3 linked regions of the Canis lupus familiaris genome follow. The main gene of each other region encodes a partner of the protein of the gene in region 2 in a complex. Links are inferred from orthologs where the notes say so. Each region holds a gene or a part of one and is shown on either strand. Other genes may lie near its edges. The genes, in order: ZBP1, CASP8 and RIPK1.

Region 1 (10,130 bases), on a different chromosome or scaffold from region 2:
GCTGTGCTCACGGCTGGAGCTGGCACTTGCTGGGGGAGGGTCTGGTCAGGCTGTCCAACTGGATTATCCCCCTCCGCCCTCTCCAGGACCTCCTGACATAGCTCCTTTTATTAGCACCATTGTACAGATAAGGAAACTGAGGCGCAGACATGTTAAAGAACTTGCCCAAAGTCACGCAGCCAGCAAATTGTGGGCTGAGTTAGAACCCAGTTTTGGCCAAGTGCCTGCACCAACCTAAGCCTCAGTTTCCCCCCCACCGAGAGAAGTCCTAGCCCCGACCTCGTAGGAGAGTCAGAGGGGCATTCAAGATCGGAAAGCACACAGTAGGTGCTCACTAAAAGCAGCTGTCATGTTGACACACACAATGGTTGCAAGGCCTCAGCACCCCCACCCCTCGGGGGATCTCAGCCTGTGTGGGGAGTGAGGGTGGGCAGCGGTGGGTACCCAGAAGGTCAGGGAAGTCCCATGGGTCCAGAGAATGCTCCTTCCTACCAACACATAGTCAGGGGCCTTGCTCAACAAGTCTGCTTTCAATTTTGTTTCTCTCTGAGGCCACGCACAGGAGTTTCGTTTTCTGTTTCTCCCGAAAGCTGGTCAGGTCAGGCTGACGAGGCCTGTTTCTAGAGTGTGAACAGCAAACACCCACCGGCTGCCGCCTCCTCTCACAGCTGCCAGAGTCCAGCCGGGCAAGGGCTCGCTGCCTGCACCAGCCCATCCCCTCCACGCCGCGGGCAGAGCAGGGGCCGCGGCTCCAGGCCTCCAGCCGCTGCCGCCGGGATGGCCCAGGCTCCGGGCGACCCTGATGAGAGAGGTACTTCTTCCTCCCAAGGAACAGCAGGTGCTCCCGGGGGGGGGGGGGGGTGCACCTCTGCCCAGCTCCTTTCCTGGGCTAGCTGACAGCAGTGATGGCCTGCGGGGTCCCCAAGAGGGGCCCCGAGAGTAGAGGGGAGCCCAGGGCCTGGTGGGGAAGGCAGGCTCTGCCTGGGCACCTGCCAACACCCTCTGCACGCCTTTTAGAAGACCTTGGCGGGCAGCAGGGGGGACACACGTGATGCTGTTTCCATTTTATACATGAGATTCCTCAGGCCCTGCGAGGGGGACCCGGGGCCTCGCAGCTGATGCTGGGGTCCGAACACCTGTCCTCACACTCATTTTAAGAAATAAGAGAAGCTGCTTTGCTTCACTCCCGGACGAATAACCCATAAAAGTGAGCCGTGTATGGGGCCAGGGCTGTGTATTCTAGAGAGCCTGTGGGCTGTGGGCCACATGTGTGGGCTGTGGGTTGACGATGGCTCTGATTTGGGGATTTTTGGTTTTGCTATCACTAGCTGGTTTACTACTCACTATAATCTTTGAGATAGCTGCTCCGATCCCCACTTCACAGATGGAAAAAGTGTGGCACGGAGAGGTCACATAGCCGGTGGATGGCAAGGGCGGGGGCTCAAACCCAGGAGAGGTGCCGTCAGAGGACAGAAAATAAGTCAAGGGGTGGCCTGGGGAGGGGTGCCATCGGGGTGCGCCCAGGGCCTGGGCAGTTTCCCCGGTTTCTCTTCTGCTTCTCCAAGGGGGAGGTGCAAGTACTTGTTGCTCAGTGCCTGAATTTAACTTCTCCCTCTGAGGTTTTCCTCTCCAACCTGTCACTTACACGTCGTCCAGTTTACAACTTCCCATTTACAGACGCATCAGCCTGAAGACTCGGCGCGCGAGGCCAGCCAGCCCTATGGGCTTGGCCCTCACTCTGGTCTCTGAGGCACGACCCCTCTGCTCCTTTGGGGTCGGTGGGGGGGGGGAATGGAGGAGGAGGGAGGGGAAGGCTCACCCGTGGGCAGGCTTTTCAAGAACCAGAACTCTTTTCAAGAGGAGGCAAGCCAGGCTTGCAGTTGATTGGATGGGGATCCCCGGCTGCTGGGGGTGAAGGAGTAGATGCCCCCAGGCGTCCTAACTGCACTTCACCTGCACCCAGCAAGGATGAACATGTCCTGATCATAGGGCAAGCCTCAGAGCCCAGCTGCAGAACCAGCAAATAAATGCCTTATCCCTTCCCCCACTAAGGGAAAACCCAGAAGGCAAAGGATCAGGCTGCTGTCCCACCAGGTGCCCCAAGTCTTCCCTAGAAGGGCCCCACTTTGCATTTCCCTCTGGGCTCTTGGGGACAGACATTTCCTGGTAAGAGGCCGGGCTGCCGGGGGGGGGGGGGGGGGGGGGCCCTCCAGCTCCTCAGGCACTGTCTGTGCCCTGTTCTCCGCTCCCCAAAGAGCTGCTGGCTTGGATTTGTGGGATCCTGTCTGATTGGAACGGAGGCGTTCAGAGAGCTCCTGGGATTCTGCTTAGGGTCATTAACCTCAGGTGGAGAATTAGAGACCTAGTTGCTGTCCACGCCCTGCCCTGGGTCGTCTGGGCTGACACCTGTCCCAGTGGTGAGCAGATCCACTCAGACACTCATTCATTCAAATGCTGTTTCCTGATCGTCTACTGTGTACCCAGCACTGAGTTAGACACCAAAGATACTACAGTGCACCAGGCAATCACAGCAGGGGAGCTTGGAGACATTCTGCAGCCCCCCCTCACACACAGGGCACCCCGATCACTCAGGGCACCTAGGATGGCTCCCCAAGAGAGATGGTGTTTGAGTGAGGTGTTGGGCAGGTGGAGGTTGAGGGTTGAGTAGGTGTTGGGCAGGTGGAGGTGGGGGGGGAGAGTGTTCCTGATGGAGGGAACAGTGTGTGCAAAGGCCCAGGAGTGAGTGGGCTGGAAGGAGCACACGGCTGGCTGGTGCTCGGAGGGAGGCTCTGGCTGCCGAGTGGAGGGTGGGCTGGAGGGATCCCGACTGCAGTCGGGGGAATAGCTGTGGTCACGGAGGTGGTGTACGGGGGGAGGCACAGAGGGGAGAAGATGGGATCCCAGAGAGCCAGGCACCATGTTCTCAGGACTCTCCATAACCCGGCAGCAGGGAGGAGGGCCTGTTTCTGAGCATCTTTAGCTTTCTGGCTTGGATGGATAGATGCACCACTGGCGTGGACGGTGAGCCCCCGAGGAGGGGCAGGTGCTGCAGGGAGGCGGGGACCACAGGCCTCCCTCGCAGCCACTTGGCCTCCTCCCTCCCTCCCTCCCTCCCTCCCTCCCCTTGCTCTCCTGCACTCAATCTACCCCACGCTGCCACCCTCCGCTCCCTTCTGCTCTGGGACATCTGAGGCCTGAGCATCCCCACCTCACCCTCAAGCGCTCACACCAGGCCGAGGATGCTCGGGAGGCTGGGGCACCTCCTCTGGTCACCAAGGTCATTTCTGACCAGCATATGTGTCCCTCCCTGGACAGCCGTGTTGTTAGCGTCTGCTCGGGTCTCTGCCCCTCCCTCTGGCCTGGACCCCTCACGCGGGGACACCTCCCTGCCTCCGAGTCCCCGCTCCAGGCTCGATCCAGGGGAGAATCAGTCCCCTCTCCGCCACTCTCTCCTCCTCCCAGACCTCGAGCAGAGGATCCTGCAGGCGCTGAGGGACGCCGGCTCCCCCATCAAGTCCATCCAGTTGGTCAAGGAATGCCAGGTGCCCAAGAAAAAACTCAACCAAGTCCTCTACCGGCTGATGAAGGAGTCGAAAGTCTCCCAGGAAGGCCCGGCGACGTGGGCCCTGGGCACCGGCAGGATGGGAAGAGTGGTGCCCGCAGAGCCGGCCCAGGCCAACCAGGGTAACCTGCTCCCCGGGGGAGGGGCGGGGCACCCAGGCGAGCAGCCCTGGCAGTGGACAAGCAGGTCCGGGCCCGGGTTCGAACATGAGCCCTGCCGCTTGAGGGTGCGTGGCATCCCCAGGCCGTGCCTCGTAGGTCTGCAGCCCAGGGCTGCAAGAGGGTGAGATGCGGAGGGCGCAGCCTCTCGCCTGCACACAGCAGGCGCTCAGCAAAGCACTAGCAATAACACTGTTGGCCAGTGCAACCTAGTGGTGACAACGGAACAGACTCGGCTTCGCACTGGGTCCTCCTTCATAGTTCTGTAGCACAGAGACCAGCAGAGCTGGCGCTTGTCAGGTGCTCCCGGTGGCCGGCGGTGCCCGCACACAACCTGGACGTAGGTAGGTGGCCCTCTTCCTCTTCCCCCGGAGACGTGAGTCCGCAGCTCAGCTGCACAGCTGGGGAGCAGCGGGGCAGGTTTGGAGGCAGGTGCGTCTACCTGTGGACTCCGAGTCCAGATCTCCCACGCGCTGGGGGCCACCATGGGGCGGCCCACCGTCACCAGCAGAGTCCCCGTACCCTCTGCCGCCCCCCATAGCCCCTGACCCATCTTTCCTCCTCCAGCAGGGAGGTGCCAGCAAGACATAGTTGCAGTTCCAGAGGAGCCCGGCCTTCAGCTCACTGACCAGCGTAAGCATCCCTGCTTTCCCCAAACTCTCCTTGGCCACTCGAGATGTTACTCTTGCCCCACCCACCGGAGGCCCCCACAAGGTGTCCAGGGGCGAGACTCAGTCTGCACAGTGGGAGAAGCTAAGTGGCTGAGAAATCCTCTCTCTGACAGTGGTTGGCATCCCTCGTGCACCCGCCGTGTGCCCAGTGCTGTTGGGAGCGCCGTACGCTCACCTTAGAACATCCTTAGAACAACCTAGTGCCTTAGAACAACCTCTGCGGGGTGCTAGTCTCACATCCCACAGTCTTCAGATGGGGAAACTGAGCACAGGGGGTCTGGGGTTGCCCAAGCTTACACAGCTAGCCAGCAGAGGAGCAGATTCAAACTCCAGGGCCCTCCCTCCTCATCCACCACCCTGCCTCCCAGAGGAAGCCATCTACAGGTTTCTGGAAGCCCATGGGCCCTGCAAGGCGCTGAACATCGCCAAGGGGGTGGGAAAGAAGATAGCGAAAGACGTCAACCGCGACTTGTATGATATGAGGAAGCAGCACAAGCTGGACTTTGATGAGAAGACAAGTACATGGGCAATTTATCAACCAGGTAGGTAGGTGCTGACCTGCTGCCCATGCTTGGATGGGGCAGGGCTACGAAGAGAAGCTGCAACATCTAACGCTTGGTCCTTGCTGGGCGCCCTGCCAGGCATTTTGCCAGCTCCACCTTCCTCTTCAGACCCTCACAGTAGCTTGCAGCGGTCTTGCTAATGGGTCACTAAAAGGGGGTACCAGGAGAGCGGGTGTGCTGGTGGGAGTAACCAAGGAGGGCTTCCTGGAGGAGTGGCCTAAGGCTGTAGTTGCAGAAGGCAAAGGGCTGGGATAAGAGGTGTTCATAGGATGCGGAGCTCAGCTGACACAAAACTGTTAGCACTTTGTCCAACTTGGAGTTTGGAAGTTGCAGGAAGAGAAGGCTGGGCTCAGACACCCGCAGGGTGGGGTCCCAGGTGACTTGTCCATCAGGCGCAGCAGGCACGGGGCCTGGCATCAGAGGTCTACAAAAATGTTCTAATTTCTCTTAAAATCAGAAGAAAAAATGAGTATTATAATAACAGTGAAGAGTTAACCGTGACTCCCACCTAGATTGCATTTGTCTTTATCCCCACAGTGTCATAAAAGGTAATTTTGAATATTTTTTTTAATGGAGGAAGGGACCCACAAAAGCACAAAAGGTGGGATGTGGCTCTGTGTGTGGAGCCGGCAAAGCCCCAGGCAGGTGCTCACCCGGCCCTTGAGATGACGCACAAGCTCACAGCGCCCAGGCGGGGCTCAGCATTGCGGGCGTGATAGCAACCTGTGACGGTGGCCAGGTTTAAACACTGGAGGAAAAAAAATCTAAATTCTTAAAAAATGCCACATGAGCCCAAACCAAGCTGCTCTGGTGGCCAGAAACAGCCCATGGACGGCCACCCTGCAGCCTCTCCCTCTGCTAAAGGAGAGGGGTCCTGGGGCTCAGTGGTTAGGGGAGGCCTCTGACCAGGGACAGAAGGTGAGCAGCAAGGCACCCAGGATCCCCCTGGGGTGGCAGAGGACACACGAGTAGGTGACCTCTGCGGTGACTTCTAAGCAGGGCTCATCTGGGCTCCTCGTTGACCCGCCTTGGACCCCCTGACTCCGCGCCCCCGTGGCGAGCACCTGTGCCTTAACAAGCTCTGCAGCAGATTTAGAGGGCTCGAGTGGAATATGATTTTGCAGATTCGAGAGGAGGAAATCGGGCCACCGCAATTATTTACCAGAAAAATCCAATCAACATGATCTGTCAGAACGGACCACATAACCACATTTCCATTGACAATTCTGAAAACATCCAGATTGGACAAGGGAACGTCATGGTGAGACAGGTGGCCTCTGGGGAGAACGGTGAGTCCCTTGACAGACACCTGCCCCCTGGAGGGGTATGTGCTCCAGCTGGGTGGGAGCAGGGAGGGGGGCACTCAAGCTCCGAGGACACAGGGCGGCTTTCAGATCCTTCCTGAGAATGAGGACGTCTTCCTTCATGCCTGGATCAAACCTCTCCTGCTTTCCCTTCACTCTGATACCTTTTGCCTCGCTTCCAATGCGACCTGATATTTTGCCTTGAGAAACAACTCAGGGTTCCCTCAGTAGAACATCTCGAGGGGTCACTGTAGTATTTTGTTTGTTCTGAGACATGCCCTTCCCCCACATTTTAACATCTTAGAAACTGGGCATAACCAGTGACATCCTAGTTTTGTCAAAATCCAGCCCCGCAAAGGGGTGCTTACTCCCTGCCAGGCACTGGGGCGGGAGGGGACAGGGGCCAGCCTTGGAGCACAAGTGACAGCACCAGCTCGAAAGCTAGAATACCCCCTGTGACCTCAGGAGAGCCCTGCCCCTCACTCCCACCCCCCACCCCCCACCCCCCACCCCTGACTCTGGGGTTCAGTTTCCCCAGCAGTGAAGCCAGGAGCTTTGTTTTAGAATCTAGATCAATGGTTCCCCATCCTTCGTCCTCTGGGTTCCACATTCCCCAATTTGGGCCGTGCCCATGTCTGATTATTTACTTAATATTATTAAACGATTTACCTTTGTATTCTACTCAGATTTATCTTAAAGTTTAGGTTACTAGCATTGTCTTAAGTTTAAAACCAGGAGGCTTACCATAAAAATAAATACCGAGAAGAGAAAAGGATGTCAAGGCTCCGAATGCTCACGGCTGAGGACTCATGCCCAAGGAGATTGGCCCTAGGGAGCAGAGGCTGTGCTCGCTGACTGGGTTTCTGGGCACCCCAGGGACATCCCAGGCACCAGTCGTAAAAACCCGGGAGACACCCCCCTCACTGTTCTGCTTCCCCATCAATAGTCTGAAACACTCATCCCCAGTCCCTTAGAGCCCACAAGGAATTCAGAGGCCTGTCTCCCAGGGGAAGTCAGAGGGCTCAGAGGTCACGTTGCCGTGTCCCCTGCCAGGCTCCATGGCTCCCCTCCCTCCCGTGATGCCAGCTGATCCCTCCACTCAGGGTTCCCCAGCTGCAGCCTGGGGACCCCAGGACATCCACTTGGAGAAGACTATGCTCAGACGGGTACAGATGGGACATGACAACATGATGAACCTCAACAGCACGCCAACCAAGGGCCCTGCCGCCTGCAGCCCCTTTGGCAGCTCCTCAGGTACCCCACCCTGCCCTCACCCCACCCCATTCATCTCCTCCCTGGGCAGAACTTGAGCTGGCCTTGGCAGGGAGAGAGGCACGATGGGAAATTCCTTTCCTTCCACCTGGAGGCTGTTACGCTGTAGAGCAGGTGGGGCTGTAGAGTCATCTCTCGGGATCCTGTGTCCTCATCTGTATGACAGGCAGGGGCCAGCCAGAGCAGGGTCAGAGGAGATGGCCAGACTGGAATGGCATCTAAGGAGGATACATCTAAGTACCTGGTGACCCACCAAGTGCTGTCGACAGTGACCAGAGAGCCCAGGCCAAGTCCTCTTCAGCACTGGGAACCCAGAGACAAGCTGGGGACAGAAAACAGCAGGGAGACCAGGGAGGCCGGGGACACCAGGAGGAAAGTTTCCAGAAAGGAGAAGCCGATGAGGTCAGGGAGCTCCATGGGGTCCAGTAAGAGGGGTCCGAGACAAGCTGGGGGGACAGAGGAGTAGGAGGAGGGGAGACTGCACAATTCTCGTCCGAAGTTTGCATGGGAAAGGAGCCAGGTGGCAGGGGCTGGGGACCGGCTATGGCTGCGCTGAGGTTTTAACCAGAGAGGGAGATGGTATTGCAGGGCTTCGGGCAAACCAGCGGCACGAAGGGAGCAGCCAGTGGCGGGGAGGTGGTGGGGAGGTGGCCGAAGCCCAGGGGAAGGGCCTGTGAAGAGGTGGCACTCAGGCTGGCTGACCTGGGTGGCAGAGAGGGCCGGCAGCCCAGGCCATGTGCAGAGATGCTGAGGGGGGCAGGGTTTTGGCCGTGGGCCGAGTCTAGCCTGGCTTCAGGGAGGAGAGTTGGCCGGGGAGAACTTGGAAGCCAGGCTGGGGGTCAAGGCTCGAGGCCACCATCCAGCTGCCCGTGCGGCCCCTCTGACATCTCTGTCTTTGGCTGCCCGACAGCCTTTGCCACCCCTGGTGACACAGAGGCTTCGTTCGAAATTCGAACACCCAAACCAGGACCTTCCTCCGAGGGGGATGTGGCCCAGAGAGTCCACATCAGTTCGTGCATCCTTGAGGACACTGCCATCGGCAACAGCAACAGAATGACTGTCAGCTCAGGGACAGATGGTCCAGGAGGAGTTGCAAGGCCTGAGGACGCTGGGGAGCCAGGCAAGGATGCAGGTGAGCCTGGGGCAAGGTGGGCCCTGTGTTCCCTCCCTTTCTCTCTCATCCACCCATCCACCCACCCGTCTACCCACCAGCTCATCCACTCACCCATTCATCTATCCATCCATCCATCCACCCACCCACCCACCCACTCACCTACTCACCCACCCGCCCATCCATCCATCCATCCATCCACCCACCCACCCGCCCACCCACCCATCCATCCACCCGCCCATCCATCCATCCACCCATCAATAGTCATTCTCGAATCTCCCATTTCCCGGAGTCTGGAAAGCAGTAGAGGATCACAGCAGAGAGCAGCCCAGGAGCTAATGTGTGGGGTCCAATGTTTTTAGCCTAGTGACCTAGTCCAGCATTTAGCTCTGAGCCTCTGTTTCCCCATCTGGGGCATGAGGATGATAATTGCCCGTAGCTCCTAGTTGTGACGAGGACTGGGTGAGCTGTGCAGGCAAAGCCTCGGCACTGTGCCTGGCCCTGCGTGTGCCTCCAGGCATCTGATGCGTCATTAACATTGGTGTTATTTGAGGCCTCATGGGAGGTGCTGAGGTGCCACAGTGAGTGAGGCTCTGTCTCAGGGAGAAACTCACTTGCTGCAGCAAAGAGACCCCTACCCAGAGTGGCTCCCACCTGCCGGAGGCGCAGCCCACATGCAAGGGGGGCAACCGTCAGGGCTGGCGGGAGGCACAGACCCGGTTTCTTCCAGCTTGGTCCTGGGCCATCCCGAGGGCTCTGCACTCACCCATGGGCAGAGAGGCTACGAGGGCCGACCGTCCCCCTTCCACCAGGCACACCCACGCTCCTCATCTCAGCCCAAGGACCTGCACTTGGCCTCAAGAGGAGCTGGGAAATGTCACTGGAGCCCAGCTCCCCCTCAGGAGGAGGCCCCATGGCCAACAGGAGGACACTGGGGGTGCAGTTAGCCACCGGGCCGCAGCTCCTGCCCTCTGGTGGTGGAGCCAGGTGACTCCAACTCTGCTGCACAGGCAGGAGCAAGGTGGTGGTGGCAGGTGGGGGCTGCATCCTGCGGGTGGACGAGTGTGTGCGACAGGGGAGACCAGGACGGTGGGTGGACAGAGTGCGAGTGTGACCCATGCGTGCTTTGAGGATGGCAGGGGCCAGAGCACGGCTCCAGCCAGGGCGGGACTTTGGCATCTATCCCAAGGCTGGCGGGGGTCGTGACCAGGACAGGGTGTGAAGGGACTTCTGCCTTCCGTGTGACGGCGGGACCGGCCCGAGGATGCAGGTCCTGACTCTCTGGGATTTGCACAAAGGAGTCATGCCAGGCCCCCTGTGGTGAGAAAACCTAGCCTGGGGACCCAGCCGGCATCCACCGGCCGCTGCCCGAAGGCCCGTGGACATTTGTGCTGGACGCCGAGTGTCCTCCCATCCTGACGGCCATGACCTTGAACTCCCAACAGCAAGAGTCCGGAGAAAGAGGGCGCCCTTTTCCCCTCTTCCCAGA
Region 2 (10,230 bases):
TTCTATATGTGGTCTTGGTCCCAAGGCAATGTTTTCTCCTAATACTTAATACATTCTACAGAAGCACTATTCATTAAGTTGAATTAAAAGCAAAGCTTATTATTGCTGCTTTTTATTATAAGCCTTTTAATAAGACTTGATATTTTGTCTTATATACATTACTTTGGTTTAAAAAGTAGTTAATAAAACAAAAGCAGAAAATATATAAAAATGTTCTTCATTTCCACAAGGAAATATGATTACATTCATTTTTTTTCTGAAACATGAGGCCCTGTTGGTACAATTTTTGTTCTCACCTTTTGATTAAAAAACTTATATATTAGAAATATTTCACTTCTTTTCAGGGTTCTACTGTACCTGCATCCAAGTCTGTTCCATTCCTATCCTTAATGCTCTGAAGTTTGGGCACTTCCCTCCGTGCTACACTAAAATCATAATTGTTGAAGATCAAACAATATCCTCGAGGTTTGCTTTTCATTCGGTAAACTTTGTCCGATGTCTGGAAAACAAAAATCCAGCCCAAGAGCTGACTCTGTGAGTCAAACACTTGGGATGTGAACAAATAACTCCCTAGTAAGAAGTGAGGCTGTCCTCTTAGCCAAACGGGGACACAAGTGCACTTTCCATGGCCCTACCCCAACTTGACATTATTTCTCTGGTGAATTAGTTTCCACCTGTTCCTTTGACACGGAATCCCCACATTTCTGCCCCACAGTTGTGTGTAAAATCAGTGTCCCAGTACTTGGGCCTCTTGAGCACTTTGCACATATATTAACACTGTTGTCATCATAACATATTTTCACCATTTGTTCTTGTTTCTGCTCAAGACAACTAACAGCTGTGCCAGGAACTAGACTGTATTAATTTGTGAGCATTCAATCAGGAAAATGCTGAGTGGATGAATGTCTTAATGCTGTCTCTGGGCTGCCTATTGTCACCTCATGCTTCCACTGGCCATCTAGTCAACTCATCTATGTTTCTAGGCTAACAGCCCAGGGCCTGCCCTTCACACATGACATCGTACGGTCTGAGGATTTTGAAAGCCAATGACTTAATTTGGCTCTCAGGACCACAGGGACTGAAAGAGAGAGATGTACTAGCCAGGCAGGTCTTGCCTAACTGCAGGTTACAGTATCCTGTGTCCTGACTTTCCCAGGGTTGTTTCAATGCTGAGATACTCAGCATTTACTGGGAAACCCATGCAACTCCTCGAGGTAGAGAAAAGGGCTCCACACTAAAGGCTCAAATTCCTGGTTCTACTACTTAATAATCTTAAGACTTTGTGCAATTACCTAATCTTTCTGGCACTCAGGACGGTTAGCTGTTCAGTGGGGACATGAACACTCAGTAGAGTGCTTTACTATTTGCAAAGTGCGACATGACTTTGGTCAATCCTCGATTTTCAGGGCTAGGTAGGTCTGGTGATTTGCTCAGGAGCCCACTCATAACTGGTCTCTCTCAGTTTAATTTCAAGTCTCCCCCTGGACAGGTAGCATTCAGGTTTTCCTCTGCTTCCTGCCACAGAGAGGAAGTAAAAAGGGCTAATGGATCAAAATGTGGTTGGTGAATCTTTGACGGTTAATAAACCCAAATGATTATGTCTAGAAAGGCGATTCTTTCCCCAGCTCATTGAGATGAGAACATAGAGACGGCTAGATCATGAGTATTTGTTGCTTACCCCTAAATCAGCACAGAGAAACAGTTTTGAAATGTCACCCTAAAAGAAAAGGCTTTGCTTTTCCCAGTCCCACTACACTTTTCTCCCAAAGCCTTCTCCCGCTTCAGCAGGGCAGATGCTGAAAGGGTTGCCAGGAGGCTTCTCGATTCCTCAGCCCTCCAACTATTCCAATGCCTTTGTCTTTGGATTTAAAATAAAATTTTAATGCTTGTTACTTTTAAAACTTAAGAAAATCACATGTTAAATTTGTCTGTTTGTGAAAATTTTCTATACTTCTCAAAATTTCCAGGAAGCATCTGCCTCTTACTAGTTTATCTGGAAACTTGAAAGCTAAGGAATACAAGAACTAGAATCTGCAATCCAAAGAGAAAAAGGAGTCTGAATTTCTACACACCTCTGATTCATAGTCCTGTTCTCCTAGAGAGTCCGACATTGGCAATATCTTCACGGATCCCTCCCTTATAGGCAACTGAGACATATCTGGAATGAGACATAGAAGGGAGGGTATTTTGGTAAAGAAACACATAGCACCAAGGATACCATAAGGTCCCCTTTAAAATGAAAATTCATGGACTACCTTGAACATAATATCCTTGCAGTCCACAGAATAAAAATTGTTTTACTAACTCTTCACCTATTTTAAACTTGTCAGCCTGGGGCTGAAGGCCTATGTCTTTTGACAATAGTTGTGTATCTTTCAACATGTAGAGAGTGACAAGTAGGCACCAAGCCGCCTACTTGGTAGTAGGTATCACGTCCATTAAGATGTGGACGTGATAGAAGGTTGTGGGGAGAGGAAGCAATGGGGGTATCTGATAATAAATTAACTGAATAAGTCTTAACATATTTCATATTACCATTTGAAATTTCATCTAGACTTCTTTGAAGGTTCATTGTTTGCTCTGAATTAAAAAAGAAACATTTGATTAGAAATAATTGTGACAGAGGGATCTGTCAATTTAAGAATACATTTTGCTAATTCACAGTAGTCAAGTTATTTCTACCTCTGTTTAATTCTTCGTAATCTGTGATTTTCTTCAGCAGGCTTTTGTTGATTTGGTCACAGATTCTTTTCAGGGTGTCCAAATTTCTTTCCCCTAGAATGACCCTCTTCTCCATCTCTATGAAAATATCAAGCAAGTTCTAGAAGGAAGAGAAGTAAAGTTGGAAGACTGGATTGAGACATACTGGTTTTTAGATTAGATTTTCTTTCTTTCTTTCTTTCTTTCTTTCTTTCTTTCTTTCTTTCTTTCTTTCTTTCTTCTTTCTTTCTTTCTTTTTCTTTCTTTCTTTCTTTCTCTCTCTTTCTTTCTTTCTTTCTTTCTTTCTTTCTTTCTTTCTTTCTTTCTTTCTCTCTCTCTCTCTCTCTCTTTCTTTCTTTCTTTCTTTCTTTCATTCATTCATTCATTCCACTTTCTCCAAACAGAGGGCCTACTCTAGTTTCCCAAACTAACCCTCCTGACAGGACATCCCAGTCTTATAAAGCCAGTAGAGCACTAGTGAAGCAATTCTGTGTTGTATGGCCCAAGAAGACAGAAATGAGAAGGTAGAGGAAAAGTGACATCAGGTGTCACCCAGGCCCCAAGCCCTGTGCTGAAATCAGCCATGGACACCATTAGGTGAAGTTGTGAAACAGCTTGAGGTGCATGGCTGAGACAAGGTAGCCTGGTCCCCATAGTGACAGCCCTGGGAGCTGCGTCTCTCCTGACACTGCCTCTGGTCCCTGATCCACCTCCAGTCCCACGTTCACACACACACACTCACACACACACACACGTACACACATGCATGCACACGCACATGCACATATACAGAGTTTCAGGTCCCAGGTGGTTTCAGAGACTGCAGAAGTGGGAAGATGTCTCCAGCTCACCACAGTCCTTCCCCACATTGGGCTATGCTTCCACCACCAGTCTTCTTTCCGAGCTACTGACTCTGCCCTGCTCCTGATAATTAATGTGAGCAGTACTTCACAGTATACAAAGGAATTGTATCTGCAACACTGGGGCCCAACAACATTTTCCTTTCCCCTAGTTAAAAAGTGAGAGTCCAGGTTGCTTTTACTGGACCAGCCCTCTCTCCAGTCGCAGCAGTCCCCACTGACTGGCCCAACCTCAGGACCAGATCTTGGTGAAACATCACCAGGGCTTACCAAATCATCATCCAATTTACATCTGGAGATCTCCCGGCTCAAGAGAAACTTAAAGGATTTCAATTCCAATTTGCTTACATCTTCTGAAATCTGAAAAAGCATGACCCTGTGGTGGGAAATGGAGACACTTTAGAAATGGCTTCTCAGATAATTTCCCATTTGACAAAAGGAGTTGCAGTGGAAACTTGATTCTGGTCACCACTCCTTAAAGACAGCTAATGACATACTTTATGAGTTGAATCTTTGGAAAGAGGCTGCTGCAGGGACATAACAGACTACTGACTCATGCCCCAATGCTCCACCCTTAACAGAATTTGCAGTTCCACTGACTATGCCACACAGTTAATTTCAGTGAGATGAATTTTGTTTTTCCTTGGTCCTCCACTATAAAGTCACTTATTGCAGTAGAAAAAAATGAAAGTTTTATTTTGGAAATTATGCTTTTCAACATGCAAACTGGATCATCACTTCCTTGATTAAAACTTGTTAGCGCTCTCCTAGCTGTCAACTTCCACAGGAAGGCTCAACACTCAGTTCCGGAATACAGACCTCTGTGCAGCGAGTCCAGCCTACCCCCTCAGCTTCTCTAGCGACTCCTCACCACCAGTCCCCCTCCACCCCCCAAACACACCCAGCTGTCCTGTCCCCACCTTTATCTATGCTTTCACATCCCCATTCCCTTGTCCATCCGCAGACACAGAGTCACCCACTAAGCTTGAGTCCCGCCCGAGTATGCTTGAGAATGCATTCACCCCACGGTGCCTTGTATCCCCAGAAAGTTTACATACATGTTGTAATTGTCTGCTTTGGAAGCCCTCTGAGCCCCTTGAGAGGAGGGTTCGTGCCCTTTTTGTTTCCATAAGCCCAGGGGGTCACGAGGTGAAGTATGTAAGTGCAGGGGGCCTAGACTACTGATTTCGGAACTCTGGTTCCATCATCTCAGAGCCGTGTGACTTTGGACGTGTTATGCGCTCTTTTCCCTCATCTGTAAACTTGTAGATAATACTATATACCACTGGGACATATTAAGAATAATACGAACAAGTTTATCTGACGTGTTGAAGCCAACTGGCAACACGCTAAGTGTTCAATACACAACAGGCATTATTATTTTTTCATCTATGATAAGTTCTTGAGATACATTTGTTGAAGGAGCAAAGGAAAGTTCAATAAGTTAGCAAACCTTCCACTATTATGTAAAGGAAAATAACAACACAAAAACATTCGTGAATGTCCTGGCCCATAGTCTCAGAGACCCAAGATTTGGCATGTTCCTTATCATATGTTTCTCTACTTAGAGCTTCTTGAGAATTTTGATTTTAAGTGGCAAAAGAGATGTCCTGGGTGTATGAGTTTCCTAAGGCTGCCGTAACAATGTCCCACAAACTGGGCAGCTTAACATGGTAGAGACATTTATATTCACAAATAGGCCACGCTAGGGTAGCCTGGGTGGCTCAGCAGTTTGGCGCTGCCTTCAGCCCAGGGCCTGATCCTGGAGACCCAGGATGGAGTCCCACATCGGGCTCCCTGCATGGAGCCTGCTTCTCCCTCTGCCTGTGTCTCTGCCTCTCTCTCTCTCTCTCTCTCTCTCTCTGTCTCTCATGAATAAATAAATAAAATCTTTTTTAAAAATAGGCCACAAAAGTAGAGGATAGTGGCTTTCACAGCCCTGGCTGTGAGGACTTACTGTCACACACATGCCATCATTATTGACAAGAAAGAAGAGACCGGTGAAATGGGCCACAGCTAAGGCTTGAGTAGAAGTTTTCAGAAGGGAAGCTAAAAATAACTTTAGGGAGTATCTGATAACAGGGCATGTTAAAAGACAGAAGTTGGTAGTGTGTTTCTGTTTTTAAAGTCTATTACCTATATATATGATCACTCACCCCATGCAGCCCCTTCTGCCCATATTTTAATAAAATCACCTTTTTGCACACACACACACACACACACACACAAAGAAATCTGTTACCAATTCATAAAAACGTAACAGAACATGGCTTGTTATCACCCCTGGGTACCCGCTATCCCACAGGCAGGGAGAGACCCAGCTGCAAGGTGTTGGGCAGGACAGATGACTGAAGTTACCACCATTCTCCTGGCAGCAGCTGGGCCCCCAGGGACTCGGCAGTCCTTGTGGGGTACAGCCTGGCTGGTCCAGGATACTGGCCGCACATCCCTCTCTCTGGAGGACACTGTGATGCAAGTTTTTCAGTGTGAAATAAAAACCTAAAACCCCACTGAGCGTTTCCATAGTCATCCACAAGCAGGTGGAGGGGGATTTCAGGTAAGCAGGGGCGATGCTTCATCCAGAAATAAGCAAAGTAAGCGCGCGATGTAGACATCAACCGAGCAGAGGCAACAGAAGGGTAGACAGAGAGAACATCCAGCAGACGACTGTTCTAATTTTAGCACACCTACAGGTAACGTTGCACTTTGGAAACACTTTTTTTTTTTTTTTAATTTTCTGCCTTCACTTTTTTACTGAATTATATACAAGTTCTCTAAATTTCTCTATCTGGCCCTGGTGGGACATCTTCAAGGAACTTCCAAAGTCATACCACACAGACAGCCGCAAGCAGCCCTGCCCACAGACACGCATCCACTGCACCCACGCCTCCCAGTGCCTGAACCGTGGAGATCCTCCCCACCTGTAGGCAGAGATCTGGGCTCTGCCTGGTATCTGAAGCTCCTGCTGCATGTCTTCCTTGCTGGTGTCCAGGTAGGTCATCAGCAGATCCAGTCTATTAATTCGGAAAAGCAGCTCCTTCAAAAAGAACAGGTTGCTTTCCTCCAACATTCTCTTTTCCTGGAGTCTCTGGAATAACATCAAGGGATCCTTGATGGGCTCCTGCTTCTTCTGTGGGATGTAGTCCAAGCTCAGGAATTTGAGGGAGGCCAGTTCGTCACTGTCCAGCTGTTCCCCAATATTGTAGAGGCATTTGCTGAAATCCATGTTGGTCAAGTGTCAGGACGAGGTAGTTGTTAACCTAGGTCAAAACACAATATTATGTTCAGATGAGGAAGAGAAGTACCATTTACTGGTCTATTCCTTCATCAAGTGCTGTTATCTCTACTACACACCAGATGTCTTACTGAGGACACAGGGAAGAAACAAAACAAAAAACTAAACAAATAGGACAGGTTTCTGCTCTTGAGTAGCTCACTATTTTGGAAGGTAGATATACAAATTAGCCAATGGTTCGAGAGTTAACCAGGGCACAGTAGGAATATAGCCAGGGGAAAGGGCCTCCTGGATGGCAGGCACCTGTGGGAAGGAGGTGGGAAAAAATGTATGTGGAAGATGGAGGCGAGAATGTTCAAGTCAACTCAGGCAGGCACAATTTGCCCAACAAAGTAACCATGAGTGTCTGGGAGGGGAAGTGGTGGCAATAGGGATGAAGCTGTGGCCAGGAACCATTACAAAGGGCCTCATGCTGTAGGGCAAAGGCTCAGGCTTTACCCTAGAGGTGATGGGGAACTCAGAAAGGACCGTAATGTCATCCAGTTTGGGATTAACATGAAAAGTGTGGAGGACAGGGGCGCCTGGTGGCTCAGTGGGTTAAGCATCTGCCTTCCACTCAGGTCATGATCCTGGGGTCCTGGTCTGTCTCCCTGCTCAGCAGGAAGCCTGCTTCTCCAGTTCCTTCTGCCTCTCCCCCCACTCATGCTCTCTCTTGTGTGACCTGGCTCTCTCAAATAAATACATAAACCCCTTTAAAAAAAAAAGTGGATGCCTGGGTGACTCAGTCAGTTGAGCATCTGCCTGTCGCTCAGGTCATGACCTCAGGGTCTGGGGTAGAGCCCCCCATCAGGCTTCCTGCCCAGCATGGAGCCTGTTTCTCCCTCTCCCTCAGCTCCTCCCCACCGCACACGTGCTCACTCGCTCTCCCTCTCCCTGCTCTCTCTCTCTCAAATAAGTAAAATATTTTTTAAAAAATTTAAATTAAAATTTAAAAATATGTGTGGAGGATAGGCCAAAAGGACTAGAGGCCAGAGAAAGAATGGGATCTGACTGAAACAATGGTGCTGGGAAGACACGCCGCAGTGCTATACCCCAAAGGCCTCAGGATCACCTGACTCTAGAGGCAGTTCCCTGCACTGGCTAACATTTTTTGGATGAAAACACAAGTCCTGATTCTATTACTTGAGGTAATGATCAAGTGAACCAGGACTTATGTATTTTCTATATCCAATGTTAAAATAGAAATATTTGAGGGGCACCCGGTTGGCTCAGTCAGTTAAGAGTTTGACTCTTGATTTCAGCTGAGGTGATGATCTCAGGGTCACAAGACTGAGCCCTGCGTCAAACTCCGTGCTGGAAGTGGAGCCTGCTTAAGATTCTCTCTCCCTCTCCCTCTGTCCCTCCCCACCCCGACCCTCCCCTGCACACATGGCTCTATCTCTCTAAACAAACAAATAAGTAAGTAAATAAATAAATAAATAAATAGAAATATTTTTGATTTGCACATAAAGGTTAAATTTTAATATTTTCAAAAAGTACCCTGAAAGACTTTAAAATTTGTAGTTTTCCCTTTTAAAACACCTTCCTGGGCACCTGGGTGACTCAGTGGTTGAGCATCTGCCTGTGGCTCAGGACAAGATCTGGGGGTCCTGGGATGGAGTCCTGCATTGAGCTCCCCACAGAGAGCTTGCTTTTCCCTCTGCCTTTATTTCTGCCTCTGTGTCTCTCATGAATAAATAAATAAAACCTTTTAAAAAGACAAACAAAAAAACACCTTCCCTCTCCCTTGCCCACTCTGATTATAGAAGCAGTGTTTTTTTGTGTGTATGAAAATTGAAAATACAGTAAATCATAACATGGTCTCAGTTATCATTATCATACACCACACACACATGCATGTGCATGCAAAGATGCATTCATATAAAAATTAGAATCAGGCTGCATATCCAGCTGTGTACACCTATTTTTCCCCACTTAATATTTAGAACAAACATTTACCCCTACCATTAAATATTCTTTGGGACATTTTTAATATTTCTTGATCTCCAGCATGCAAATATAGCAAAATTTATTTTAAGGGATTTTTAATTCCTTTACTCTTAAAAATAATATAATATTGAGAAGCTTTTTCACATATCCTTTGCATATCTCTGATTATTTCCCTCTTAGAAGCCAAATTATGGAACAAAACCTTTTTTTCCCCTTTTAATCTAGAGCATACATCATTGTTTAGACACGTTTTCTTGCTTTAGGAAACTAGAAGGAAATATCTTGAAAGATACACTTTGTATGGGGTTCTCAAAGGCTGTAGAGCCTACATCTTTCACAAAAGCAACCAATTATCATGAAAATACTTTTATTTAGAAAAGGCATCTTAAATATGTGGCTATCACCTAACGGCATATGTTCAAAATGTAGCAAGCAAAACCTACTGGACATCAAAGGGGGCAAACTAGCAGGTTCATTCCTTAAATCACATTTCATAGAAACACACATGTACTAAACAGACTATGCGCATGGACTGTCACCACACAATGTGCAACCCTGAACAACTGGAAACATCCCAAATGTCCGTCAATATAGAAATGGCTGATTAAACTAAGGTATAGTCGGGATCCCTGGGTGGCGCAGCGGTTTAGCGCCTGTCTTTGGCCCAGGGCGCGATCCTGGAGACCCGGGATCGAATCCCACATCGGGCTCCCGGTGCATGGAGCCTGCTCCTCCCTCTGCCTGTGTCTCTGCCTCTCTCTCTCTCCCTGTGTGACTATCGTAAAAAAAAAAAAAAAAAAAAAAAAAATTATTAAAAATAAATAAACTAAGGTATAGTCGTACTACAGAATATTGTGCAGCAGTTAAGAAAATCCACTCCATCTTCTGAAATAAAAATGATAGCTATCCAAGATGTGTTATTATGACAGTAAAAAAAAAAAAGTAGAAAAAGTCATTACAATATTTTTTTTTAAGATTTATTTATTTATGAGAGAGAGAGAGAGAGGAGGAGGAGGGAGAAGCAGGCTCCATGCAGGAGCCCACATGGGACTCGATCCCGGGACTCCAGGATCGCACCCTGGGCCAAAGGCAGGCGCTAAACCACTGAGCCACCCAGGGACCCCCACATTACAATATTTTTTTAAAATATGTTTATTTTTAAAAATTACTCAAAGCAATACGAGATTTTCAGTGGTTGCAGATACATATGCAAAAGCAGAAAATAAAAAGGTAACAAGGTTCTGGGAAGAGACATACCAAATTCAAAAGTTTCTTCCGAGGAATAAAGGAGAAAACTAGAACCAGGGGGTAAAGGAGTGAGGAAAGAGAGTTGCCCTTTCCCTGTAATATGGTAAGAAGGATGTATGCAGATATTCTCTGTGTAAATGAAACTACTGTTAAAATACATCAGTTTGTTCTTGGGTTTAAGGTTAGTGTAAGAGAGTG
Region 3 (10,130 bases), on a different chromosome or scaffold from region 2:
TTTTTTCCATCTTAGTATTCCTTAAAATTCCTCCAGTTAGTTAATTTTTTTGGAGTGGAGACTGCATGTAATTTTTGAAGCCTGTAGTGACTGACACAACATTTGATACTGAAGTTAACAGACATTATAGTTTCAGAGCAAACCATGGTTAGAATACAAAACAAAAAACAAAAAAAAAAAACCCTATTTGAAGAGAACTTAAAATTTCACTGTACTCGTGAAGAGAGCGTAAAATAAGAAAGTTGACTTAGTTTATGTCCTCTGAATTTTTTTCTTACTCTAGCAAAACTCCAGTAAGTTAAATGAATGGCATCAGTGAACGCTGAGGAACGAACTGAAAGAAAATGATCTTCCTCAAATATCTCTCTCCCCTTCAAAACCCAGTTAGGCTTCTTTTTGGACTTGGCCTCAGACATTAATAGGTCTTCCTGGTTAGTAGGCGGTTTGCTGTAGGCTTCTTTCCCATTCTCCACCTACGGAATGCAGGAGATTTTTATGCAGACCCAGAACCTGTATTAGTGAGGGAAGAATTCTGAAGGATCAGAGGCAGCGCGCTTTCAGTGGGTGACTTACTCACTACGCGAGGAGAATACCCCATGCTGCCCAAGCCCCTTCTCGAGTTAGTTCTGGCTGATGTGTATCAAATAGTTCAAAAGGTCTATTCTTGAGCACTGGTAGAGCGCATAGGCCAGCTTTCCAACCGTGGCCCCTTTATTGCCTTCCCTCATCAGCCACTTTTGGAGCATCTGGTAAACCTTTTCTTTGAGTCCATCTCGCTCATAGTCGTGGTCAATTTCATCAATCTGAGGTTCAGTGAAGCCCAGTTTGCGGGCACAGTTTTTCCATTGCTTTCCCAGATTTTCCCTGACTGGGTCCAGATGTTTATCAGTCAGACTAGTGACATTATCTGCCAAACAGAAAAGATAAGAAGGCATCAAACTATAACTCATTTGAACATTCTAGTTTTAAAAACCTGTAGAGACAGTATCAGGAGACGGTAAAACAACAACAACAACAAAAAAAACTTCATTACATAGTTGTGGACTCATTCCTTAGGGGATCCTTTACATGTCTGGAAGCCCATGTGCAGTGTGTATATGAATACAGCAGAGAACCTCTACCTCCTAGCAGATGCATCTCTGAGCCACAGCTGGTGGCTTTGGGAATACAAGCTCTGCTTGGCTTCTAGGCTGTCCTCTATGACCTTAGCCAATGGCCCTGGTTAATTTCAGACCTTCCTGATACAAAGAGGGAAAATACTATTTTTGTTCCTTTTGGCATCATCTACATACCTGGCCAGAATCAGGGTCATTCAACTCCTCATCCCCTGCACCCAATGGTCTACTTTCCTCTTACTTAGGGAAACTGAGGCCATCAAGTGTGAACTCCTGCAATTATAATGCCTTCCCTTGTCTTTTAAAGAATGAGGTATCTACTTTTCCAGGTCTATTTTGGGACTCAACTCTCCTCTAAGTGCCGTCTTCTCTTCTCTTACAGCCACAGCCTCCCTTTCTAACTGGTTCCTTCCTCTCTGGCCTTCATAAAAATAACAAAAGGAGCCGCTATCCTGGTTGCGTGTGGTTGACTGTTACCGCCATGTCTTCTCACAAGACTTTCAGAATCAAGCGATTCCTGGCCAAGAAACAAAAGCAGAATCGTCCCATTCCCCAGTGGATTCGGATGAAAACTGGTAATAAAATCAGGTACAACTCCAAGAGGAGGCACTGGAGAAGAACCAAGCTGGGTCTATGAGGAAGCATCCATCGCACATCATGAAATAGCAAATATAATTGGCACACATATTTAAGCTGCATGGAGATCACATGTTCCTATCCTGTCAATATGGAAACACCCTTCCTACCTGGCCAATAGACATGTCTTATTAAGGAAACGTTCTTGTCTGTTCCTATGCCTCTATACCAGTAGGCTGGTTCAGTAATAAATGCGACACCTTTCAGCTGAGCTGCTGTTGTGTTCTGATTTGTGAAGTACTGAAATCCCCCTCCTGTCAGATCTCACATAGCACTGTCTGATAGAACTTTCTGCAGTGATAGAAATGGCCCTTGACATCCAAGTATTTAAAGTACGGCTAGGGGACGCCTGTGTGGCTCTGCTAAGCATCTGCCTTTGGCTCTGGTCTTGACGGGGAGACTGCATGTCTGCCCCTCCCCCTGCTCAGGTGCTCTCTCTCAAATAAAATCTTTTTTTTTTTTCCTAAAGATTTTATTTATTCATGAGAGAGACAGAAAGAGAGGCAGAGACACAGGCAGAGGGAGAAGCAGGCCCCATGCAGGGAGTCCGACGTGAGACTCGATCCCGATACTCCAGGATCACACCCTGGGCTGAAGGCAGGCGCTAAACCGCTGAGCCACCCAGGGATTCCCAAATAAAATCTTTTTTAAAAAAAATAACAAAAGTAAACTAAAGTATAAAACTACCATCACCACCACACACATTTTCCTTGATCTTCAACCTACCTCAATAAGCTGAATATAAGGAAAAAGACATCTCATTTCTGCCCCCCCCCTCAACTCCCATCCTCTCCTTAGCTCCCCACAATGCAGCTTCTGTTATCACCAAAGGACATCAGCAGTCCAAAAACCTTCCAAGATATTAGCCTAGTTTTGTGAGTTCCTCTGGGAGAGGGACCCTGGGTTTCATCAGATCCTCCAAGGTACTTTTGTCACCCCAAAAGTTAGGAACCTCCTCTCTAAGAATGTTAAAGACTATTTTTCAAATGGATTAGGCCAGGGATTGGCAAACTATGGCCTGTGGGTCAAATCTGGCCTGCTGCCTCGTTTTGTTAAGTGAAGTTTTATTGGAACACAGCCATGTCCATTCATGTACATCTTGTCTGTGGCTGCTATTGCACTACAATGTCAGGTAGTTGCAACAGAGATCTCAGGGCCAGTGAAGCCTAAAATAATTTCTATCTGGCCCTTGATAGAAACATTTTGCCAATCCTAGAGTTAAACATAAAGCTGGGCTCTTAAATCCCATTGATTTGGCCTCATGACTATGATTCCCAGGTTGTGTTTTGGGATTAATGTTTTGAGCCTGCACAGTTAAAAGCCCATAAGAGAAAGCTCTCTTGTTTTTATTACAGGGGTGCTGTTGAGGGCATAGTCTTCTATTTTTTCAGAATCACTTTTGATGAAGACCTGAGGGAGATACCTCTCCTAGGTCTGAATAGTGATATTGATGATATGTTCAGTACTTTCACAGATCTTAACTACATGCCAGGCAGTGTTCTACACTCTTTATACATATTGATGATAATTTTCACAACAAATCCATGAGTTAGATATTGTAATTATCCCCATATTAAGCATTAATAAATCACAACGGATTATATCGAAGTTACAGAGATATTTTACAGAGAAAACATGGGTCAACTGTCAGGGAGAATAAATCAGAGAAATTTCAGGATTCCACTATATCCCTCTAAGCAATAAAGTTCAAGGTTGCTAGAAAATGTGTCCTTAAAGGGCATCTTACCAAAGATATCTTGGTACTTATAAGCTGGCTCTTCTTTCACGTTCATGTCGAGCAGGGCTGAACTCATTCCACCAACCTCCATATAATTATGCTCTCCAACCTGAATGCCAGAACTGTTGTATATGGTACATTTTACAGACTCATCTGAATAGAGTGAAACACACAGGTAAGTAAATCTAGGTTGAAAGCAAGAGAAATAAATACAACATGGTAAAAGGACAGGGCTTTATTCTAGATATAGAAGTTAAATTATTTATCCTATGACAGTCTTTGAAATTTTCCTCTTCAAAATGTAGCTGAACTAACCTTACATCCACCAAAATGGCTACTATAAAAAAAAAAAAAAAAAAAGTAACAGTGTTGGCAAGGATGTGGATGAACTGAAACCAAGGTGTGCTGCTGGCGGTAATACAAAATGGTGTGATAAATGATATGGAGATCCCTCAAAAATTAAAAATAGACTTCCCTCAAAAATTAAAAATAGACTTACTCTAAGATGTAGCAATTCCATTTATGGGTATTTACTCAAAGGAACTGAAAGCAAGGCCCCAAACAGATATTTATATAGCCATGTTTACAGCAGCATTATCCACAACATCCAAAAGGTGGAAGTCACTCAGGGTCCACCAACAGATGAACAGATACACAAAATGTGTTATGTACGGACAATGGAATATTATTCAGCCTTAAAAAAAAGGAAGGAAATCCTGACACATGCTACAATATTGGCAAACCTTGAGGACATTGTGTTCAGTGAAATAAGCCAGTCACAAAAGGACAAAGACTGTATGATTCCACATATATCAAGTACCCTATAGCAGTCAAATTCATAGAGACAGAAAGAATGGTGGTTGCCAGGGGCTGGGGGTAGGGGAATGGGGAGTTAGTGTCTGATGAGTACAGAGTGTCAGTTTGGGAAGATGAAAAGAGTTCCAGAGATAAATGGTGGTGATGGTAGCCCAACACTATGGTTTCCTCACCAATGCAGTCTTTGGCCGATATAAGATAAGAATTAAAATATCCAAGACTTCTTTCTTACCTTCAGAAAACAGCAAGCAAGTAAAAGAACACAAACCCATCAGCGATTGGGTATAATGGGACCACTGTGATGCAGATTAAAGCAGAAGATACCCACTGGTTACAAGGACCTGTAACCCAACACCTGTGGGTAGCTGCAATGAATCCTACTCAAACCAAAGCCAAGTGCTCTGATGGAGACTAGTCCATGGCTGCAAACGGCATGTGGCAGCTGAAGACTATAAACAACTCACCCTTGTAACCTTAGAGTCTACATCAGAGCTAATAGCTGCTTTATTTTCAGAAACATTTAAAAAAGATTATAGCTAAAAAGAACTGTTTACCTCTTGATGGGAAGGAGCTGAATGGAATGGTGGGCGTGTTCCCCAGTAGGTTGGTCTCCGGCACTGGAGTTTTATTCACGCTTGGGATATGGCTTGGATTTGGCTGATACCAGACTCTTGAACCTGTTGTTCCCAGAGCCAGTGGTCTTGTTCTAAAATTGAATGGACTGTACAATTCATTGTTCCAGTACCTTACTGGGGGTTGGCTGGTTAGCCCCTTTGGCTGGTGTACTGCATTACCAGGACTGGTTGCAATAGAATAAGGAAGGCCTTTTACTCCTGGGTTCTGAATGTTTTCATAAGGTCTCTGCTGTGCAAAAGGGTCATGGGAGACCCTTCGTCTCCTTTCCTCCTCTCTATTATAAGCCACACTCTGTCTGAGTGGTTTCGTCTGCCTGTCCATGCGGCTGCCATAAAGATGGTAGTTGGCTTCCTCCTGGAGTTTACTCTGCAAGCTGAGCTGGTTCTCATCCTGCTGGTTCTCCAGGGAGGGAGCAAACCAGGACTCTTCCACGGGACCTATCCCCAGTCCCTGGGAACTGTGCAGCGAACTGGGCTGTTCTGGGGCTGAGGAGAAATGATCAACATTGGAAAGAGTTTCAGACAGCAACAAGAAATAAAATAAAACCTGGGCACTGCCACACATCTGTGTCTCAGAATAACATACTGCAACCTTTGCAAGCAAATAAAAAAAGCATTGACTTGATGGTCCTCTTCCTACAAATATGTAAGTAATTTGTGGAAGCCCCTGCAGGGTGGTGAGAGAGCACTAGAGAAATGTTAACAGGCAATGGCAACATGAGTGTCACAGGAATGACCAAGGGAGAAAGGGACTGGTCTTTAGTAGAGAAGGTGGCTGTGTCCTTGGTGTGGTGCAGGGCTGGAAAATAAGACCCGGAGCAGCTTGGTGCTAAGCACTCTCCATGGATTCTTTTATTCTCTAAAAGCCCTGTAAGAATAGGAGCAATTATATTATGATTTGAGGGATGAGGTTTACAAGAGGTTAATTTGCCCTAGAACAGATAGCTAGTAAGTGGCTTCAATATCCTATACTCTGTTTTTCCTTTTGTGAAAATGAAAAAAGTATCCCTCCTTGAATCCAAGACCAACCTCTCTGCTAATTCTCTGGATATCATCCCTGACCTCAAGGACCTTGCTTCCACATATGTCCCCTCTTTATCCTGAGCCCTTACACTCTCCCTATCAGATATATGTTAGGCCTCTTATGTTCAGGATGTTTTATGATTTTAGTGAACACCCTGTTACTTACTATTTCAAATATATGTTATCTTCATTCTAAATATATTATAGATTCCTTTAAGGCAAGAGTTAAATTTTATAGCTTCTTCTGTTTCTTATATGTTCATGAAGAGTATTTTTGAGAACAGAGTGCATGCACGAACAAACAAGTGAATACGTTATTTTCAATCATAGTATGTTACCTGAATTTGACCTGCTTGGAGGTGTTGCTACACAGTCAATCTGGAGAGACTGCATTCTCTTCACAACTGAATTTTGGGCTGGGTCTGGATACTCTTTCTATAATTGACAGCATAAATGTACACTTTAGTAAACAGTAGAAAATAGTTCCAAAAAATTATTATAGAAAAATGAAATCTTTTCAAAAGGTAGAGATTTCATATAGCTCTTACAAGGAATAAATCTTTTTTCCCCAAATAGCCAAAACAATCCTGAAAAAGAAGAATAAATTTGGAGGGTTCACACTTCTTGATTTCAAAACTCACTACAAGATTACAGTAATCAAAACAGTGTGGTATTGCTCTAAGGACAGGCATAGACCAATGAAAGGTAGAGAATCCAGAAATAAACCCTTATATGGTGAACTGATTTTCAACAAGGGTGCCAAACCATGCAATGGGGGAACACTGGATACAAACCTAAAAGAATGAAGTTGGACCCTTACTTTTATTATATACAAAAATTAACTCACATGGACCCAAACACTGAAGCTGAAGTGCTCAAACCATATAAACATCAGAAGAAAACATAGGGGGAAAGATTCACGACATTCAATTTGATAGTAATTTCTTAGACATGACACCAATAACACAGGTAACAAAATAAAAATAAATAAATTGGAGTACATCTAAATTAAAGCCTCTGTGCATCAAAGGACGCTATTAAGAGAGTGAAAAGATAACCCAGAGAATAGGAAAAAAATACTGGCAAATCATATCTCTGATAAGAGATGACTATCCAGATTATATAAAGAATTTGCATAATTCAACGATAAGGCACAAACAACTCAATTCAAAAATGGCCAAAGGGCCATTTCTCTAAAGAAAATATACAAATGGTACATGAAAAAGTGCTCAACATCATTGGGAAAATATCCTTCAAAACCACCATGAGTTATACATTACTTCACACGACTTCACACTCTAGATGGCTATCATTTAAAAAACAAAACAAACAAAACCCTGAGAATGAAAAATGCTGGTGAGAATGTAGAGAAATTGGAACCCAGAAATGTAAAATGGTAGGACCCTTATGGAAAACAATTTGATGGTTCCTCAAAATTTAACATAGTATCATCATACAATGTAGCAATTACACTCGTGTATATACCCAAAAGAATTGAAAGGAGGAGCTCAAAAAAAATTGTACATCAATGTTCACAGATAAAAGGTGGAAACAACTCAGTATCCATCACAGTTGAATTAATAATCAAACTGTGATATACACAGAAAATGGAGAATTACTCAGCCTTAAAAAGGAACGAAGCTCTTAAAACATGTTAACATGGATGAACCTATAAAACATTATGCTGAGTGAAATATGGCAGACACAAAAAAATGAATATTGTTTGATCCCCACGTCTGCAAGGTACCTAAAGAGGCAAATTCATAGAAAGTGGAATTACACGTTACCAGGAACTGGGAAGAGGAATGGGGAACAGTTGTTTAATGGGCACAGAGTTTCTGTTTGGAATATTTAAAAATGGAAATGGACACTAAGTGATGTTTGTACAGCACTGTGAGTGTACTTAATGCTACTGAATTCTACACTGAAAGATGGGTAAGATGGTGGGGCAGCTGAGGGGTGCAGTTGCTTAAGCATAAGACTCCTGGTATTGGCTCAGGTCGTGATCTCTGGGTCATGAGATGGAGCCCAGTGTCAGGCTCTGCAGTCAGCCTGGAGTCGGCTTAAGACTCTCTCTCTCTCTCCCCCTTTCCCCCCTTCCCCCATGCACATATGCATGTACGCTCTCTCTCTAAAATAAATAAATCTTTTAAAAAAAAGAAAAGGTAAGATGGTAAATTTTATGTTATGTGTATTTTACCAAAATAAAAAAAAAGGAAAAAGAAACTCTTTTTTGCTATAAAAGTGATACCACTCATTATTGAAAATATAGAAAATGTACAGAATTATATTTAAAACCTACACATTCTGCCTTCACTCCAAGGACAAAATTAACATTTTGGTATTTCCTTTAAGTTTTTTTCTTAGTCACATTTGCATTTTGTTTTAATATGTAGTGCTTTTGTTAGTCTTCAGTTCAAAATTTTTCTAAATTCCATTGTGATTCCTTTTTAATCCACAGGCTATTTAAAAATATATTTCTTTACTAACCACATGAGAGTTTTAAATTTTAAGATTAATTTCTAGCATAACTGAAATGTAATCAGAGAAAATTCTTAATATGATTATAATCCTTTTAAAATTGGTTGAGAACTGTTTTATTTCCCAGGACACAGTCAATTTTAAAGTATGTCTGTATGTGCTTGAAAAGCCTATTGTAGTTATTAAATGCAGTGTTTTCTATATTTCCATTCAGTCAAATGTTAATCATGTTCTTCAAATTTCCTATATCCTTACTGATTTTTTTTGTCTATTTGTTCTGTCAGTTAAAGAGAAATTTGTATATTAAAATCTCCAACTATGATTCTGAATTTGTCTTTTGCTCCTTTGAGTTTTATCAAGTTTGGTTTTGATATTGAGACCATGTTATTAAGGGCATGCACATATTTAAAGCTGTTATTATCTTCCTGGTGAGTTGAACTTTTTATAGTTATGATATATTTCTGATTATTGTGACTTATCCCTAGTGACTCTCTTTCCTGACGTTCTTTTGATGCCCAAGCATGGTTTCCATTGGATACCTTTCCTTTTATAGTATAGGTATCCCTCAGAAGTCTGGTAATTCTCGCCTCTCCGGTTTTTATCTTCATTTTGAAATCTCCATATGCCTGCCTGTTTTATTGACTGTAGTTCTTCCCCTCATGAATCTAGCAGCATGTTGCTGTACTTGTGCCAGCAGCTTGTTTCCTAAGTGTGTGTGTAGGGAAGGTCTTTGTTTGTCTTGGCTACTTGGCTGGTAATAACCTTTGATATACTTCTAGTCCCCAGACCAAATTCACTGTTTCAGGTTGAGGAAGATGCTGCTCCCATGTGTTGCACAGCACAAGGGACTCAGAGGGAGGAGCCAACTTTTGTAACTGGCACAAGCATGGTTCCCAAGTGACAGTCTTACACCAATGCCCCAGCTGACTATGCTGTTTCTTCTACAAATGGACATAGACTTGTTCCTCCAGTACTCCTTCAGCATTATGTTTTGGGTTAGCATTTTCTTTTTCTGTTATAGGTCTTAGGAAATAAAATTCTGTTGGCTTCCAAGAATTCCTCAAAATGACTGATCCTCCTATGGTACTTTCCGTTCTACTCCAGTGAGGTTGTGCTTTTGTTTCCACATTGCTATATATATAATTTCTCTCATTTCATTAGTTTTGATGGAGGAATGGGTCCAGTGTGCCAACTTGATGGTTATCTGTATAGAATTGCTAATTTTGTTTCATGTGGTTACCAAGCTAGCTTACCTCAAATCTTAGTAACAAATTATATTGCTTTGGTTTTCAAAACTGGTAATACATATGCTTTGATATGTTAATGTTTTGAGTACCTGCTATGTTACCTACTTTTAAACTTGTCACATCTTCTTCTACATTTTCTTCTAATTGATCTTCATAAAAAGGCCTAAATTTTTCTTCAATGCCTATGTAAAAAAAAATAGTACTTTAAATTTCTTAGGTATTTTCTAAACTAAAATTTAAATAACCAGTAATCTATTATTTTTTAATTACTTACCTTAATCTGTGGACAAAGCAGTAAAATAAAAATTTTAATGCCAAATCACTGACTTATATGAAGAGACTAATAAGACTAATAACTAAGTAGACAGACGAAGGGACAAGGCAACACTGGAAACCAAGAAATATTGCCTAATAGCATGTTTCTCCAACTGCAGCACAA

What was found.
Region 1: CASP8 (region 2) and ZBP1 share a complex: the UniProt entries of both Homo sapiens proteins name them as parts of the AIM2 PANoptosome complex. The link is inferred for Canis lupus familiaris from reciprocal best matches to the Homo sapiens genes CASP8 and ZBP1.
Region 3: CASP8 (region 2) and RIPK1 share a complex: the UniProt entries of both Homo sapiens proteins name them as parts of the AIM2 PANoptosome complex. The link is inferred for Canis lupus familiaris from reciprocal best matches to the Homo sapiens genes CASP8 and RIPK1.

The regions. Positions count from the first base shown.
Region 1 is NC_049245.1:43,327,896-43,338,025, reverse strand, and holds the start of ZBP1 (Z-DNA-binding protein 1), read left to right. Parts: upstream 1-563; 5' UTR 564-777; coding exon 778-838; intron 839-3,462; coding exon 3,463-3,684; intron 3,685-4,287; coding exon 4,288-4,353; intron 4,354-4,759; coding exon 4,760-4,933; exon of another isoform or gene 4,934-5,400; intron 5,401-6,078; coding exon 6,079-6,243; intron 6,244-7,002; exon of another isoform or gene 7,003-7,311; coding exon 7,312-7,512; exon of another isoform or gene 7,513-8,440; coding exon 8,441-8,662; exon of another isoform or gene 8,663-8,768; intron 8,769-10,130.
Region 2 is NC_049258.1:10,245,338-10,255,567, reverse strand, and holds the start of CASP8 (caspase-8), read right to left. Parts: upstream 6,795-10,230; 5' UTR 6,787-6,794; coding exon 6,482-6,786; intron 3,937-6,481; coding exon 3,831-3,936; intron 2,822-3,830; coding exon 2,683-2,821; intron 2,581-2,682; coding exon 2,536-2,580; intron 2,159-2,535; coding exon 2,073-2,158; intron 500-2,072; coding exon 358-499; intron 1-357. UniProt on the Homo sapiens protein: Thiol protease that plays a key role in programmed cell death by acting as a molecular switch for apoptosis, necroptosis and pyroptosis, and is required to prevent tissue damage during embryonic development and adulthood.
Region 3 is NC_049256.1:4,682,755-4,692,884, reverse strand, and holds part of RIPK1 (receptor-interacting serine/threonine-protein kinase 1), read right to left. Parts: intron 9,874-10,130; coding exon 9,797-9,873; intron 6,399-9,796; coding exon 6,302-6,398; intron 5,427-6,301; coding exon 4,860-5,426; intron 3,643-4,859; coding exon 3,499-3,642; intron 1,963-3,498; exon of another isoform or gene 1,753-1,962; coding exon of another isoform or gene 1,498-1,752; intron 908-1,497; coding exon 621-907; 3' UTR 1-620. Other genes in the region: uncharacterized protein LOC100687285, read left to right, coding at 1,498-1,752. UniProt on the Homo sapiens protein: Serine-threonine kinase which is a key regulator of TNF-mediated apoptosis, necroptosis and inflammatory pathways.